Linked DNA regions of Cricetulus griseus. The protein of the gene in region 3 binds, or shares a complex with, the protein of the main gene of each other region. Links are inferred from orthologs where the notes say so. Each region holds a gene or a part of one and is shown on either strand. Other genes may lie near its edges.

Region 1 (3,500 bases), on a different chromosome or scaffold from region 3:
TTACTATAAAAGATTTTTCAATAGGTAAAGGTTAGGACTACAGAGTTTCAGAGGTATGTTATTTACCCTGTAGGGATTTCAATCAAATGCTCCTTCTGTTGAAGAACATTACCATTTGAGACACTATAATCCAGACTTCACTGAGCTGATCATCAGCTCTTATTGTATATTTACCTTGTAATCAGAAATGGTCCCAATGATTTCAGTGAATATTATGTAGTCATGATTTTTTGAAAGACAAATTTCTGTATGTGTAACAGTTTGTGGTGAGATACTTATAAATATTTAATCTTAAAATGTGTAAGTCTTCTGAAAACTTATGTTTTTGTTCATAATAAAGGGAAAAATTGAAGAGATACACTAAGGTGTTACACTAACAGGAAGCTTAACCACATAATTGTATAAATGTGATGTGCCTTTCTTATGCTGGGGTCAGACTGTTGGCTTCTGAGTGAATTTAAAGAGAACTTAAGAATATGGTCAGCAAGATGGACATACATATGCATTTGGGGTTGCAGAACTGGAGAAGTGGCCTTAATTCGCACTTACAGGCTAATTCCATATAGAAATGTAGATGTGATTTAGCAGGTCTGGTGGTTTTGTTAGCATGTTACTTTGGGTATCTGTTATGTCTGTTATTGCTTCATTTCTAGTAAATGTGCTATTTTTTCCTGACAAAAATCCAAGAGCAGTTCTATGGAACACTGATAGAAAACACTGAGGCAGGTTTTGATTTTTTGTTTTTGCTTGTTAGTTTTATGGTAAAACCATTTTTTTTCTGAGACAGGGTTTCTTTGTGTAGCCCTGGCTGGCCAGAACCAGCTCTTTAGACCAGGCTGGCCTCGAACTCAGAGATCTACCTGCCTCCCGTGTGCTGGGATTAAAGGTGTGTGCCACCAAAGCCCGGCCCAAAACTATTTTTCTATTTAATTTTTTTTTTCATTTTACATACTAGCCCTAGTTCCCCCTCCCTCCACCTTATCCCCCATCCACTCTCTGATGGAGTAAGGCCTCCCTTGGGGAGTCCACAAAGTCTGGCATACCAAGTTGATGCAGGACCAAGCCCATTCCCCCTGTATCAAGGCTGAGCAAGGTATCCCACCATAGGGAATGGACTCCAAAGAGCCAGTTCATACCCCTAGGATAGGTCCTGGTGCCACTGCCAGTGCCCCTCCCCCAACAGATAAATCACACTAATGTCACTCACATTCAGAGTGTCTAGTTTGGTCCCATGCAGGTTCCCTAGTTGCCAGTCCACAGTCCATGAGCTCCCACTAGCTCAGGTCTGTTGTCTCTGTGGTTTTCCCTTTTCCCCATCATGGTATTAACTCCCCCCTTCATGTGATCCCTCCTCCCTCTCTTCATCTAAGTTCCAGGAGCTTAGCACAGTGCTTGGCTGTGGGTCACTGCATCTGCTTGCATCAGTTACTGGATGTAGGTTCTATGATTATACTTGGGGTATCCACCAATCTGATTATAGGGGAAGGCCAGTTCAGGCATCCTTTCCACTATTGCTTGGAGTCTTAGCTGGGAATTTCTCTAGCACCAAGCTTCTCCCTAACCCCATAATGACTTCCTCTATCAAGATATCTCTTTTCATTGCTTCCCCTTTCCATCTCTTCCCCCAACTCGGCCCTTGTGTTCCCATCCCCCATCCCCTATTCCCCATCCCCTCTCTTCTACCCTCCTTCCCAGTTTACCCAGTAGATCTTAGCTGTTTCCCTTTCCTGGGCCCTCCTTTCTTAGGGTCCTCCTTTTTACCTAGCTTCTCTGGAGTTGTTGTATGTATATGTATGCATATACACAGAGGTTGGTTGAGGACAACATATGGGAGTTGTTCTCTCCTTCCACCATATGGATTACAAGGATCAAACTTGGGTAATCAGGCCAGTGCAAGTACCTTTTCCTGCTGAGCCATTTCTCTGGTCCCTAAGACAGGATTCATATTGTTTTATGTGTATGAATATTTTGTTTGCATGCATGCACACCTGGGGCCTACAAAGGTCAGAAAATGGTGTTGGGTCCCCTTGGACTGGATTTACATTTTTTTTACAGGCACTGTATCTCTAGTTTTTTGCTCTAGATGACAATGTTCATGGGCCACATAATAAGAGTCCAGTGCCCTACTTGTATAGACCAGTGAAGGAGGAGGGGAGGGATTCTTTTTTTTTCCTCCATTTTTTATTTGAGTAAGAAACAGGATTGTTTTACATGTCAATCCCAGTTCCCTCTTCCTCACCTTCCCCCTACTAACACCCTACCTCTCCCATACCCTTTCTGCTCCCCAGGGAGGGTGAGGCCTTCCATAGGATGTCATCAGAGTCTATCATATCCTTTGGGATAGGGCCTAGACCCACCCCTGTGTGTCTAGGCTCAGGGAGTATCCTCTATGTGGAATGGGCTCCCAAAGTCCATTGAGGGGAAGCATTCTTAATTTTTATTATGTGTTGTGATGTATGTGTGTGTGAGAGCACATACATAATGCAATGTGTATTTAGAGCTAAGAGCTTAATTTGGTGGGGTCAGTTTCCTCCTTTCATCTATGTTTTGGGATTGAATTTGGGTCATCAGACTTGCTGAGTCATCTTTAAGGTTTTCTTTAGTATTGTGTAGCATATGTAAAAATTTTAGAACAGTGCTAGCATGTGATAGGTATTTGTTATTTAATGTTCTGTGTTCCTTCATACTTCATTATAGTCATTGGACTATTAGTGTTATCACTCCTATTTCCACTGTCAGGCTACCTTCCCCCTTATAGTCTTTCTCTGTTCTGGTATGGAAGTAGAACAGGGATAATGGATAACATCACGCCCTCATATTTGATACTGTCTCCATAGGTGAATGCAATCTGCTATGGGGCCAAGATCATGCTTCCTGGTGTTCTCCGATATGAGGATGGCATTGAGGTCAACCAGGAAATTGTGGTCATTACCACCAAAGGAGAAGCCATCTGCATGGGTAAGGAGGGGAGTAGTCCTCATTATTTCTGGAGTTGGGGCTCTGCACCATCAAAGCTAGGTTCATTATGGGCCAGTTCAATATCATGGTCCCTCAATTCTATCTAATTAGAGTGTCTCCTTGGGCTTGTATGAACAATTTATGAATGGGCAGATAATTAGGTACAGATTAAGGAGAAAGAAATATTGTACATTTATATGCTCTTGGCTCTTTAGTGAAACTCCCAGTGTAAGAGTATAGGGATGGTTGTCTGTGATGATTAAAGGAGAGATTTTAATTTACTCCTTGTTTGCTTTCAGATAACTTGTAATTAGTGTCAGTGACTTCTATTGTTTTTTCAGGACTGGGTTTCTCTGTTTTAGCCTTGGCTATCCTGGAACTCCCTCTGTAGACTAGGTTGGCTTTGGACTCAGATTCAACTACCTCTGCTTTCTGAGTGCTGGGACTAAAGGCATGTGCCAACACCACCTGGCACATGCTTTTAATTTGTAAAGGTTTAGCTACTCTTTGATTGCACTCAGTTATAGTGCTCTGTGCCCTTT
Region 2 (2,312 bases), about 17 Mb from region 3:
AGGACGAATTGACAGCGGCTCACTCTCTCTGCTTCTCCCCGGATGGTTCCCAACTCTTCTGTGGCTTCAACCGGACTGTGCGTGTCTTTTCCACATCCAGGCCTGGTAGAGACTGCGAGGTGCGAGCCACATTTGGTAAGCCTCCGAGGGGGAGGAGATGAAAGAACAGCACCTGCAAAGGGGCCTTGTGTGAGCTGGGCCACCTGTGGGTTTCTCATCATCCTTAGTACAAGCCTGGGTGGCACTTGCCAGCTGCAGAAGAGACACCGACTCAGCTTGGAGGAAGCCCCCAAGGTCAACCAGTTGACTAGAAAGCCAGGTTAACTCCTAACCCATCCATGCCTGTCAAATGTGTACTTTGTGGTCTCTCAAAACCTTGTTAATAGCTAGAAATTGTTTTTATTTTACTCTTTCTTACAGTGCCTGGGATTGAACCCAAGGTCTTGTTAGGCAAGCACTGTGCCACTGAACTTTATGAAATTGAAGGGAAAGGGAGTCCGTTTCCTGTAGGCCTGTAGCTCTCCATCCCTTCCAGGAAAAACTGGGGTATGAGCGGGGAGAGGGAGACTTTAGGAGAGTGAAATGACTTGGGAAGTATCAGAACTTCAGATTGCTTGTGACAAATGGTGGGGAATGAGTCCCTGCATGTCAGTACTAGGACAGGGTACAGAGGGCTGAGGCTAGTTACTGTCCTGTGCTAATTGTTCTCCTGTTTCATCTCCAGCAAAGAAGCAGGGCCAGAGCGGCATCATCTCCTGTATAGCCTTTAGTCCATCCCAGCCCCTTTACGCCTGTGGCTCCTATGGCCGTACACTAGGCCTGTATGCCTGGGATGATGGTTCTCCTCTCGCCTTGCTGGGAGGCCATCAAGGGGGTATCACCCACCTTTGCTTTCACCCCGATGGCAACCTCTTCTTCTCAGGAGCCCGAAAGGTACTGGTCAGAGCCCAGAGTATGTGGGCGGCAGGATTGGGGATGTCGTCTGTAATGGGATGAAACCAAGTTTGGAGGACTTGGGGGTGCTGAGGTGGAGACAGAGAATTGGGGGGGGGGGCGCACTTCAGACTCCTGTACTTGTCTTCAGGATGCCGAACTTCTGTGCTGGGATCTCCGGCAGCCTGGCCACCTCCTGTGGTCTTTGAGTCGGGAAGTGACCACCAATCAGCGCATCTACTTTGATCTGGACCCGTAAGTGGCCGTCCCCCCCTCTTCCCTTTCCAGGTTCATCCTCAGCCCCTGGATAGGAATGGCTTCTACCCCCAGAGTGATGCCTATCTGCCCACAAGTTTCCCTTCTTTTCCAGGAGTGGGCAGTTCTTAGTGAGTGGCAACACCAATGGAATGGTCTCTGTGTGGGACATCAATGGAGCTGTCAGTGACAGCAAGCTGGGACCTGTGATGACTTTTCTGCCCCAGAAGGACTGCACCAATGGAGTGAGGTCCTCACTTCACTGAAGGGGCTTGGGGGAGGGGGGGGTTGGGGAGGAAGGTGGATCTTCCAGGTGACATCCTGACCTAGGTGCTGACAGCCTGTTCTCTCCTCCAGCCTTCACCCTAGCTTGCCTCTACTGGCTACTGCTTCCGGCCAGCGCATGTTTCCAGAGCCCACCAACAGTGGAGATGAAGGCGAGCCGGAGGGGGATCTTCCCCTGCTCTCCCTATGCCACGCCCATCCTGAATGGCGGCTTCAGCTCTGGTGGTGTGGAGGGGGACCAGACCCCAGCAGCCCTAATGACCACCAAGATGAGAAGGGACAAGGAAGGACAGAGGGCTGTGGGGATGAGTTAATATAAAGATTTTGTATAATACTGGAGTCATTGTGTCTGTTTGGGGTGGCACGTGACTGGTAGGAGCTTGGTGGGGGTATTAGTAGATTCCTTTGTCCAGCATCTGTGGGGTCTGGCATATTGTTCCCAAAACCAGGGGTTGAGAGGTGGGACCAGGCAGGAGCCAATGAGGTACTGAGCATGGTGTGAAGTCAAGCAGGTGGGGGTGGGGCCTCATGCCATTGACTAGATGGTTGCTAGGCAACTTGGTAAACTGAGGAGCAAACCTGTTTGAAATCTCACTCCTGTGGTGGCTGCATTAGGGGTCAGGGTGAGTTGGCCTAAACAGGGGTGTCAGGAGCTCAGTGGCAGACTGTTGAGTGTGACTGTGTGAGACTAAGCAGACAGTGACAGACAAGTCAGCGCTGATGGCTGCACACACACCGCACTGTTTACCTTCATCCAACTGCAGAGGGGAAGGGTGCAAGAACACTGTGCTCCCCTGCACCCCAGTAGGCAGAGTCAAGGACACACGGGAGGAGTAATC
Region 3 (4,226 bases):
AAGTCGTGTTTGGCAAATGTATTTCTTCTGGGGGACATGATCTCTATTTGACAGCACATAAATACCACCAAATGTGACAAGCGGTACAATGCTGGGACAGATGAGGTATGGGAGGAATGCCAAGAAATAGAAACTCAGCTCTTAAGTGTCAGTGACATTCTAGGAGATGACTCTTTTTTTGGTTCTTCGAGGCAGTGTTTCTGTGTACGATAGTCCTGGCTGTCCTGGAACTCGCTCTGTAGACCAGGCTGACCTCGAACTCACTGGGATCTGCCTGCCTCTGCCTCCCAAGTGCTGGGGTTAAAGGTGTGCACCACCACTGCCCGGCTAGGAGATGACTCCAACAGAGACTTGAGTGCCACAAATAGGCTCCTAGAATGGCAGGGGCAGGGACAGAATAAGGCCAAGGGAACAGAGTGGTACTGAAAGGCTGGTTGCCAAGAACAAGGGTCGCCTTTTGCAATACATACAGGAGAGGACCAAAAAACAAAGCCATAGAAATTGGCAGGGGTCTGAAAACAGACAGGGTCTGTCCCAAGAGAAAGGTTTTTTTTTTTTTTTTGGGGGGGGGGGCCGTTTCGAGACCGGGTTTCTCTGTGGCTTTAGAGGCTGTCCAGGCTGGTCTCGAACTCACATAGATCCGCCTGCCTCTGCTTCCCGAGTGTTGGGATTAAAGGTGTGCACCACCAACGCCTGGCTCCAAGAGAAAGTTTGCCAGAGTAAAAATGTCAACTAAAGTTGTGAGTTGTCAGTGTTCTGTACAGACCCATAGTCCTAATGATCCGCCCAGAGGAAGAATATTCTTTAAGGGTGAGTGACAGATCAAGAATCCTTGGTTCAAAACCCTGATTCCATAGTTCATTCCCTTTGGCCTAGCACTGGTCCTCACTGCCTGTTGCTTGCCTGCCCTCCCTTGTGCTCCCTTCTCCTTGGCTACCCTGACCCATAATCATGGTGCCAGGTGCCACCTGGAAATACCAGGCCTCGTTTGCCCCACCAAACACAACCATCTGTTAAGAGGACAGGGAAGCATAGCATGTCCAGGACATTTTCCATGTCAACTCAGGATGCCTCAGTGGATATAAGCACTCACTGCCAACCCCAGGTACCTGAGTTCGGTCAGTCCCCGGAACGGAAATGGTGGAGAAAATCAACTCTCCCAAGTTGTCCTCTGACACCCACATAAGCACCAGAGTGCACATGTATGCAACATATGTATGCAGGCACATACACATGTAATAAAGGTACCCTTTGAAATACTGAAAAGTTGTCTAAAACCACACCTAAAGTGTTTTCAGACAAACATGGTTTTCCTTCACTGTCTGCAGTCACAGACTACACCCCAAACGGGCGCACGGGAGGCACAGACCTGTCACTGTCCTCTCTAATCCTCCAACCTTCACTCTAGTCCCGACCCCTCACTTGGGCTACAGCAACAGCTTCCTAAGTCTGACTTGCCTCTCCTGATTCTTCCTCAATAGCACTTCTCAGTGTTCACTTTGCTTTGAGAACAAAAACCAAACAAGCCCCACAAGGACTAGAGAGGTGCCTCAGCTGGTCTTCCAGAGGGCCCACATTCAATTCCCAGCACCCACATGGTGGTACATAATCATCTGTAACTCCAGTCTAAGGGGATCTGACACTTTGCTTTCTTCTGATCTCCAAGGACACCAGTGACACACATATATGTTTAGGCAAAACATTCACACACAAAATAAGTCAAAAAGAAAAAAAAATTGAAAGGCCTTCATGAGATACTTCTCAGGATCCCAAACCCCCAAACCAACATTCATCCATTCTCTCCTTTGTTGTTAGTTTGAGATAGTGTATCTATACACAGTTCTGGCTGTCCTGGAACTCAAGAGATCTGCCTGCCTCTGCTTCCCAAGTGATGGATTAAACAAACGCCTGCACCACCACTCCCGGCTATCATTCTATCCTTTTGGTTTTTTGTAACGTTTTCATAGTCATGCTTGCTTTAAACTTGCTATGCAGTGGAAAGTAGCCCTCATTCTCCTCTGGCCTACTTGGGAAGATGTCTCCCTACAGCATGTTGCCTGAAGCTTTCCAGAAAAGAACTGCCAATCCACAGAACGAACGAACAGGGCGGGATACGTGGTCTGGGTTCTCTTCCCTGTAGTTCATTGGGAGCTCCTGTAAGTGATGTGGGTGTCTGTAGTGAAGGCAGTTCAGGCCAGAGTAAACTTCACCTTTACTGAGCACTTAAGTAGGTGTAATTCAGTCTTAACCAACTGAAAACGCAAACTCAAGTGGCAGAGTTAATTGTCTAGCATGCACAGGCCCTAGGTTCAATCCCCAGAGCTGCAAAAAAAAAAAAAAAAAAAACCACACACATAAAACTTAAAAACCAATGTGAGGATTGGTTCTTACCCTTTCTCGCCTTTGTTGACAAATTTCTGAACCTCCTTCACCCCACGCCGAATCTGCTTCTGCTTCACGGCTGCAAAGAGAAGGGTGAGCCGCGACTTCGTCCAGCCCGTGCCCGCCTGCCCGCCGCCCGCTCCGCCCCGCGTTCGCCACGCGCCCTGCCGCCTCACCCTTCTTGATGCACTTGTAGAGCTTGCGCGTCAGGCGGCGGGACGCCAGCGGCTGCGCGATGGGGTTCAGGTTGACCAGCAGCTCCTCGTACGTGCGCTCCTCGCTGCAGCCCTCCGCCTGCGCCTCAGACTCCTCCGGAACGGACTTTATTTTGGTCATCTTAGAGACTGCGGCAATCCAGTAGGTGAATACACGAACCACGCGGCCGCCGCCTCCGAGATCACTTCCGGGTCATGAAGCTGCCCTTCCCTGTGACCAATTGGGAAACGAGGTATTCTGTACCGTCCAATCTGTAAATATGTCTGCGAGGGGCGGGGTCTTGGCTGTAGGGGCGGAGTCACAAGGCAATCTAGGCACGGGGTTTGGATTTCGCCCGCGGTAGCGGAGTTTAGAGGTCGGGTTTCAGAGGGGAAAGGGGCGGGGCCTTTGGATAGAGAGGCGGAGCCCATAGGGATAGAGGCGGGTCTTGTCGGAAGGGAAGAGGGGCGGGGCGAAAGGAATTAATCTGTAGTGTGGCTCCTGAGCTCCTGGGCAGGTGTGACCTGATGCTACTGGTTAGCTGAATCCTGGTGCCGCTAAAGGTTTTTTCAAGTTTTCGTTTTCCCTTCCTGAATATTGTTGCTCAAGCTATAAGCCGCACGCCTTTGATCCCTGCACTGGGGAGGCAGAGGCAGGTAGATCTGTGTGAGTTTTAGGTTAGCCTGGTCTTACATAGTGAGTTCAAGGCCTGCCAGGACGACACAGTGAGACCCTCCTAGGGCAACATAGTAGGGTACTGCCTCAAAAGTAAAACAAAAGTAGTGATATAAATTCATTTATCCAGGCATCAGATTGAAACAGTGATACACACTGTTTCAAACAGTCTTGCCTGAGGCTATGCTTTCAGGAGCCATGGCAATCAGCCAAAGTGCTTATATCATTTTCTGAAGGCATTATAGAAAGTACCAGCTGAGCTAGCTGGCCTAAAGGAGGCCCAGGTGGCTGTGAGACTGACTGTCCTTTTGCTCCAGGCAGCCAGGGCAACAAGGGAGAGTCCAGCTACTAATGAGGGAGTCAAACTGCCCCATGCTTTTTTTTTTGTTTGTTTGGTTTTTCAAGACAGAGTTTCTCTGTGGCTTTGGAGGCTGTCCTGAAACTAGCTCTTGTAGACCAGGCTGGTCTCGAACTCACAGAGATCCACCTGCCTCTGCCTCCTGAATGCTGGGATTAAATTCGTGCGCCACCACCGCCCGGCCTAGTCCATACGTCTTTAGAAGAAAATCAACATCAGGAGTGCTTATGAATATAAAGAACTTATTAACTACTAGTGGTGTTTTTTTCTTTGTGTGGGTTTTTTGTTTGTTTTTGTTTTTGTTTTTGTTTTTTTGAGTCAAAGTCTCATTAATTAGCCCTGCCTGTCCTGAAACTCACTATGTAGATTTTGATGGCCTTAAACTGAAATAGATCCACCTTCGCTACTCCCTGAGGATTGGGATGAAAGGTGTACACCATTATTATTTATTTTTGAGACAAGGTTTCTCTGTGTAGCCCTAATGGTTCTGGAACTCTGTCTCGAGCCCTTACCAGGTTTTGACCTGGGAGGAATGACAGACTCAGCGAGTTGGTTTTGAGTATATAAGTTTTACTTCACACTTATGTCAAAGTAACACACACAAGCATAACAATCC
Region 4 (3,500 bases), on a different chromosome or scaffold from region 3:
AATGGGGATGTAGCCCCCCACCACCCCAGGTTGTAGTAAGAGTTGGGAATGGGAGAGATAAGGGTGGTACTGAGTTTGGAGTCTTTTTGGGTCTTGGCAACTGACAGTAGTAGATATTACTGTTTGTTTACGTGGTCTTTGAGCATGTTTACAAAATGGTGTATGTCTGTGTACATATTTATACATGGGGGGTTGTCAAATGTGAGTGTGAAGCCCACCATGGCTGCTGCTTCTGACCTTAACCACCACTGCCATCCCCAGGTGCTATGTCCAGTGCCAGGGCATCCCCCAGGGCTCCAGCCTGTCCACCCTGCTCTGCAGTCTGTGTTTCGGAGACATGGAGAACAAGCTGTTTGCTGAGGTGCAGAAGGATGGGTAAATTGCTTGTTTTTACTGCTCCAAGGGCCTGGGTCATGAGTTGCCATATCTTCACACTTGGAGTTCCCAGCTCACTGAGTGGGTGTGACAGTTGCTTTATGTCCGAGATGTAAAGGTCATCCATTGCCTTCACTTCGTGCAAAGCTGCAAAGTGCACCAGAGCTATGTCTGTTAGGAAGACAGTAAAGCTGTCGTTTATCTTCTTTTGAAATACCACTTTGTTTTGTCTTTGTGCATTGTGACACCTAAAATGTTTCAGGTTGGATCCCCTACAGGTGGATTCTGTGTGAAACCTGTCAACATGTCTCATTTTAGGCTGCTTTTGCGTTTTGTTGATGACTTTCTGTTGGTGACACCTCACCTGGTCCAGGCGGAAGCCTTCCTCAGGTAAGGACTGCTATGCCTGGGTTTCTGCCGTATGATCATGATGTATGTGCAGCTGAGGCAGCACATTTAATCGGTTTATAATTTTGTGTTCCTGGAGCTCGTGTTGTCACCAAGACCTAGTGGCACCTCTACCAAGTGGCAGGGTCACCTCACCTGTGCAGCCAGACATGGGTACCTCCAGCACCAAGGAAGAGAGTATGGCACCCATGGCTGGTCCGACATGGTCTCTCCGAGGATGCAGTGCGGTCAGAGACCGGGTCATTTCCAGTATTTGGAAAGTCTTCAGATGAGACAACAGGCAGTAACTCCTATGCCTCCCAGCCAAGCCCACAGAAGGGCTGTTTGCAGAGGCCTAAGGCACTTAGCCCTTCTAGAAGATGTGAGCATAGCTGTCTTAATTAGAGTTTTTTGGGGGGGCGGGAGTTTGGGTTTTTCGAAACAGGGTTTCTCTGTGGCTTTGGAGGCTGTCCTGAACTAGCTCTTGTAGACCAGGCTGGTCTCAAAATCACAGAGATCCTCCTGCCTCTGTTAATTAGACTTTCTATTGCTCTGAAGAGACACTGTGACAACAGCAACCCTTACAAAGGAAAGCACTTAATTGAGGCTAGCTTACAGTTTCAGAGGGTTAGTCCATTGTCATCACTGTGAAAAGCATGGCACTGTGCAGGCAGACATGGTGCTGGAGAGGTAGCAGAGAGTTCTACATCTTGATCTGCCAGCAACAGGAAGGACTGTGTGCCACACTAGGTGTAGCTTGCGAATATGAAACCCCAAATTCTGGCTCTAGTGACATGCTTCCTCCAACAAGGCCACACCTCGTAATAGTGCTACTCCCTATGGGCCAAGCATTCAAACACATAAGTCTATGGGGCCATACCTATTCAAACCATTCCTGATAACTTTGAGACTTCACACCACACCATGAAGAACAGGCACTGGGTGAACAGGCCCATGGCTCTGTAGAGTAACTTTTCTTTATGGATTGTTAGGAAGAGACCAGAGAATTTGTACTTACTAAACATTGGTGTTTTGAGACATGGCTGTTGTATTAGGAGTGGTCATTTTTCTTACATTAATATTCATACTAGTGAGTTATAGTATGTATCCCAGGCTGTTTGTAGTATATAGAGGTGAGGTCAGGGTTATTGCATATCTGGGTGTAAAGTTAATTTTTGTGGTTCAAGCTAGAATTGAGCACTGCAGCCCTGCTTCAGAGCAGGACCATCAAGTGAGGTTCCTTGGGCACCACAGAGTTTGAGGGTTCCTTCAGATCATGTATTATAGAGGAAGCCCCCTCAGGCGCTGTGAAGTTTGTAGACCTCCTTTTAGGGTAATTGACAAGAGGAAAAACCTGAATGTGATTAATTAAGCCGAGCCCTCAGAAGTTGTCACCACTGAGGTATTGGTGTTTCTGGAAACACTAAATGCTGTCCAGTTTCAAATTTGCCCAACAGGGCTCTTTTGGGCATAGTGTCCTCGAGCCCAGTAGGTTGTGCATGTCAAGGTAGGTAGAATGAGGTGAGAACAGCCCCAGTGTGTCCCTGTCACATCTGTATCAATCAGAAGCTACATGGCCCATACATAGACAGTGGCCACTGGGGACAGAGGACAGACACTGCTGCTGTTGAGGAAAGTTCCAGAAGTCAGTTTTGTCCCTAAGACCTTGTCAGGGAAGTGGCTCTGGATCAATGTCAGATCACCAGGTGATGGGGCCACTAGGTGGGGGCTGTCCATGGACACCTGTAGGAAATATTTACTACAAGGAGCTGGCCAGGGCAGCTGCAAGGACTGACTAGTCACAGGCAGGTGGATGGCATCAGGTGTTCCCACCCATGGGACAGGAGCTAGACTACTGCCAGACTGCCAGTGTGAGTTCACTCTGAGGAAGGGTACACATTTACTTTCAACTCACTGGGGAGGTCTTCAACTCACAGGCAAGCAGTCAGTTTAGCATTTGCTGGGAGGGGAAGCAATCCACATCTACAGGCATCTCAACGTATAAGAAAACAGACTTTTTGGGTGAGGGGGAGAGGGTCCCTTGCTACATGGATGTTAAGGTATAACCATCAGATGGTTATGTGAACCTTCCTACTTGTTTGACTCCTGGCCATCTTGTTCTGAGCTGGCCCTATTGCTTACACAGAAGAGCAGCCCCAGGCTACAGTCTGGACCAAGACTGCCTGGTATTCCATCAGGGTTACCCACAAGGACCCACTCTCTCTGATCCCAGAACATCTCTGGGTATCTTTGTGACATGTGCTGAGTGTGCTTCCAGGGTTCCATAACCAATGTTTCCTCTCTTACTCAGGGCCCTCGTCCATGGCATTCCTGAGTACGGCTGCATGATAAACTTGCAGAAGACAGTGGTAAACTTCCCTGTGGACCCTGGTGCCCTGGATGGTACAGCTCCACACCAGTTGCCTGCTCACTGCCTGTTTCCCTGGTGTGGCTTACTGCTGGACACTCAGACTCTGGAGGTGTTTTGTGACTACACTGGGTAAGTACATCTGGCTGAGTTGAGGACCCATGAGCTCCTGGGGGCAGAAGATGCAATGGGATGCTCCATTCTTTTTCCTGTTGAGGAACCATGAGCTCCGGGGGGCAACTCACCCCGGAGGTCTTTGACTCATAGGCAAGTAATCGGTTTAGCATTTGCTGGTAGGGGAACCAATCCACATCCATGGTTCCCCTATTGAGGAACCATGAGCTCCTGCTGTGTGGTGTTCCATCCTGTT

Evidence for each region. Proteins that work in one complex are often made in the same cells at the same time.
Region 1: Nhp2 (region 3) and Dkc1 share a complex: the UniProt entries of both Homo sapiens proteins name them as parts of the H/ACA small nucleolar ribonucleoprotein (H/ACA snoRNP) complex. The link is inferred for Cricetulus griseus from reciprocal best matches to the Homo sapiens genes NHP2 and DKC1.
Region 2: Nhp2 (region 3) and Wrap53 share a complex: the UniProt entries of both Homo sapiens proteins name them as parts of the telomerase holoenzyme complex. The link is inferred for Cricetulus griseus from reciprocal best matches to the Homo sapiens genes NHP2 and WRAP53.
Region 4: Nhp2 (region 3) and Tert share a complex: the UniProt entries of both Homo sapiens proteins name them as parts of the telomerase holoenzyme complex. The link is inferred for Cricetulus griseus from reciprocal best matches to the Homo sapiens genes NHP2 and TERT.

The regions. Positions count from the first base shown.
Region 1 is NC_048604.1:743,458-746,957, reverse strand, and holds part of Dkc1 (H/ACA ribonucleoprotein complex subunit DKC1), read left to right. Parts: intron 1-2,837; coding exon 2,838-2,958; intron 2,959-3,500.
Region 2 is NC_048600.1:83,400,026-83,402,337, reverse strand, and holds the end of Wrap53 (telomerase Cajal body protein 1), read left to right. Parts: intron 1-2; coding exon 3-135; intron 136-724; coding exon 725-933; intron 934-1,084; coding exon 1,085-1,188; intron 1,189-1,303; coding exon 1,304-1,438; intron 1,439-1,545; coding exon 1,546-1,792; 3' UTR 1,793-1,812; downstream 1,813-2,312. UniProt on the Homo sapiens protein: RNA chaperone that plays a key role in telomere maintenance and RNA localization to Cajal bodies. Specifically recognizes and binds the Cajal body box (CAB box) present in both small Cajal body RNAs (scaRNAs) and telomerase RNA template component (TERC).
Region 3 is NC_048600.1:65,901,354-65,905,579, reverse strand, and holds the start of Nhp2 (H/ACA ribonucleoprotein complex subunit 2), read right to left. Parts: upstream 2,801-4,226; 5' UTR 2,719-2,800; coding exon 2,559-2,718; intron 2,462-2,558; coding exon 2,392-2,461; intron 1-2,391. UniProt on the Homo sapiens protein: Required for ribosome biogenesis and telomere maintenance. Part of the H/ACA small nucleolar ribonucleoprotein (H/ACA snoRNP) complex, which catalyzes pseudouridylation of rRNA.
Region 4 is NC_048595.1:368,314,578-368,318,077, forward strand, and holds part of Tert (telomerase reverse transcriptase), read left to right. Parts: intron 1-261; coding exon 262-375; intron 376-693; coding exon 694-765; intron 766-3,073; coding exon 3,074-3,262; intron 3,263-3,500. UniProt on the Homo sapiens protein: Telomerase is a ribonucleoprotein enzyme essential for the replication of chromosome termini in most eukaryotes. Active in progenitor and cancer cells. Inactive, or very low activity, in normal somatic cells.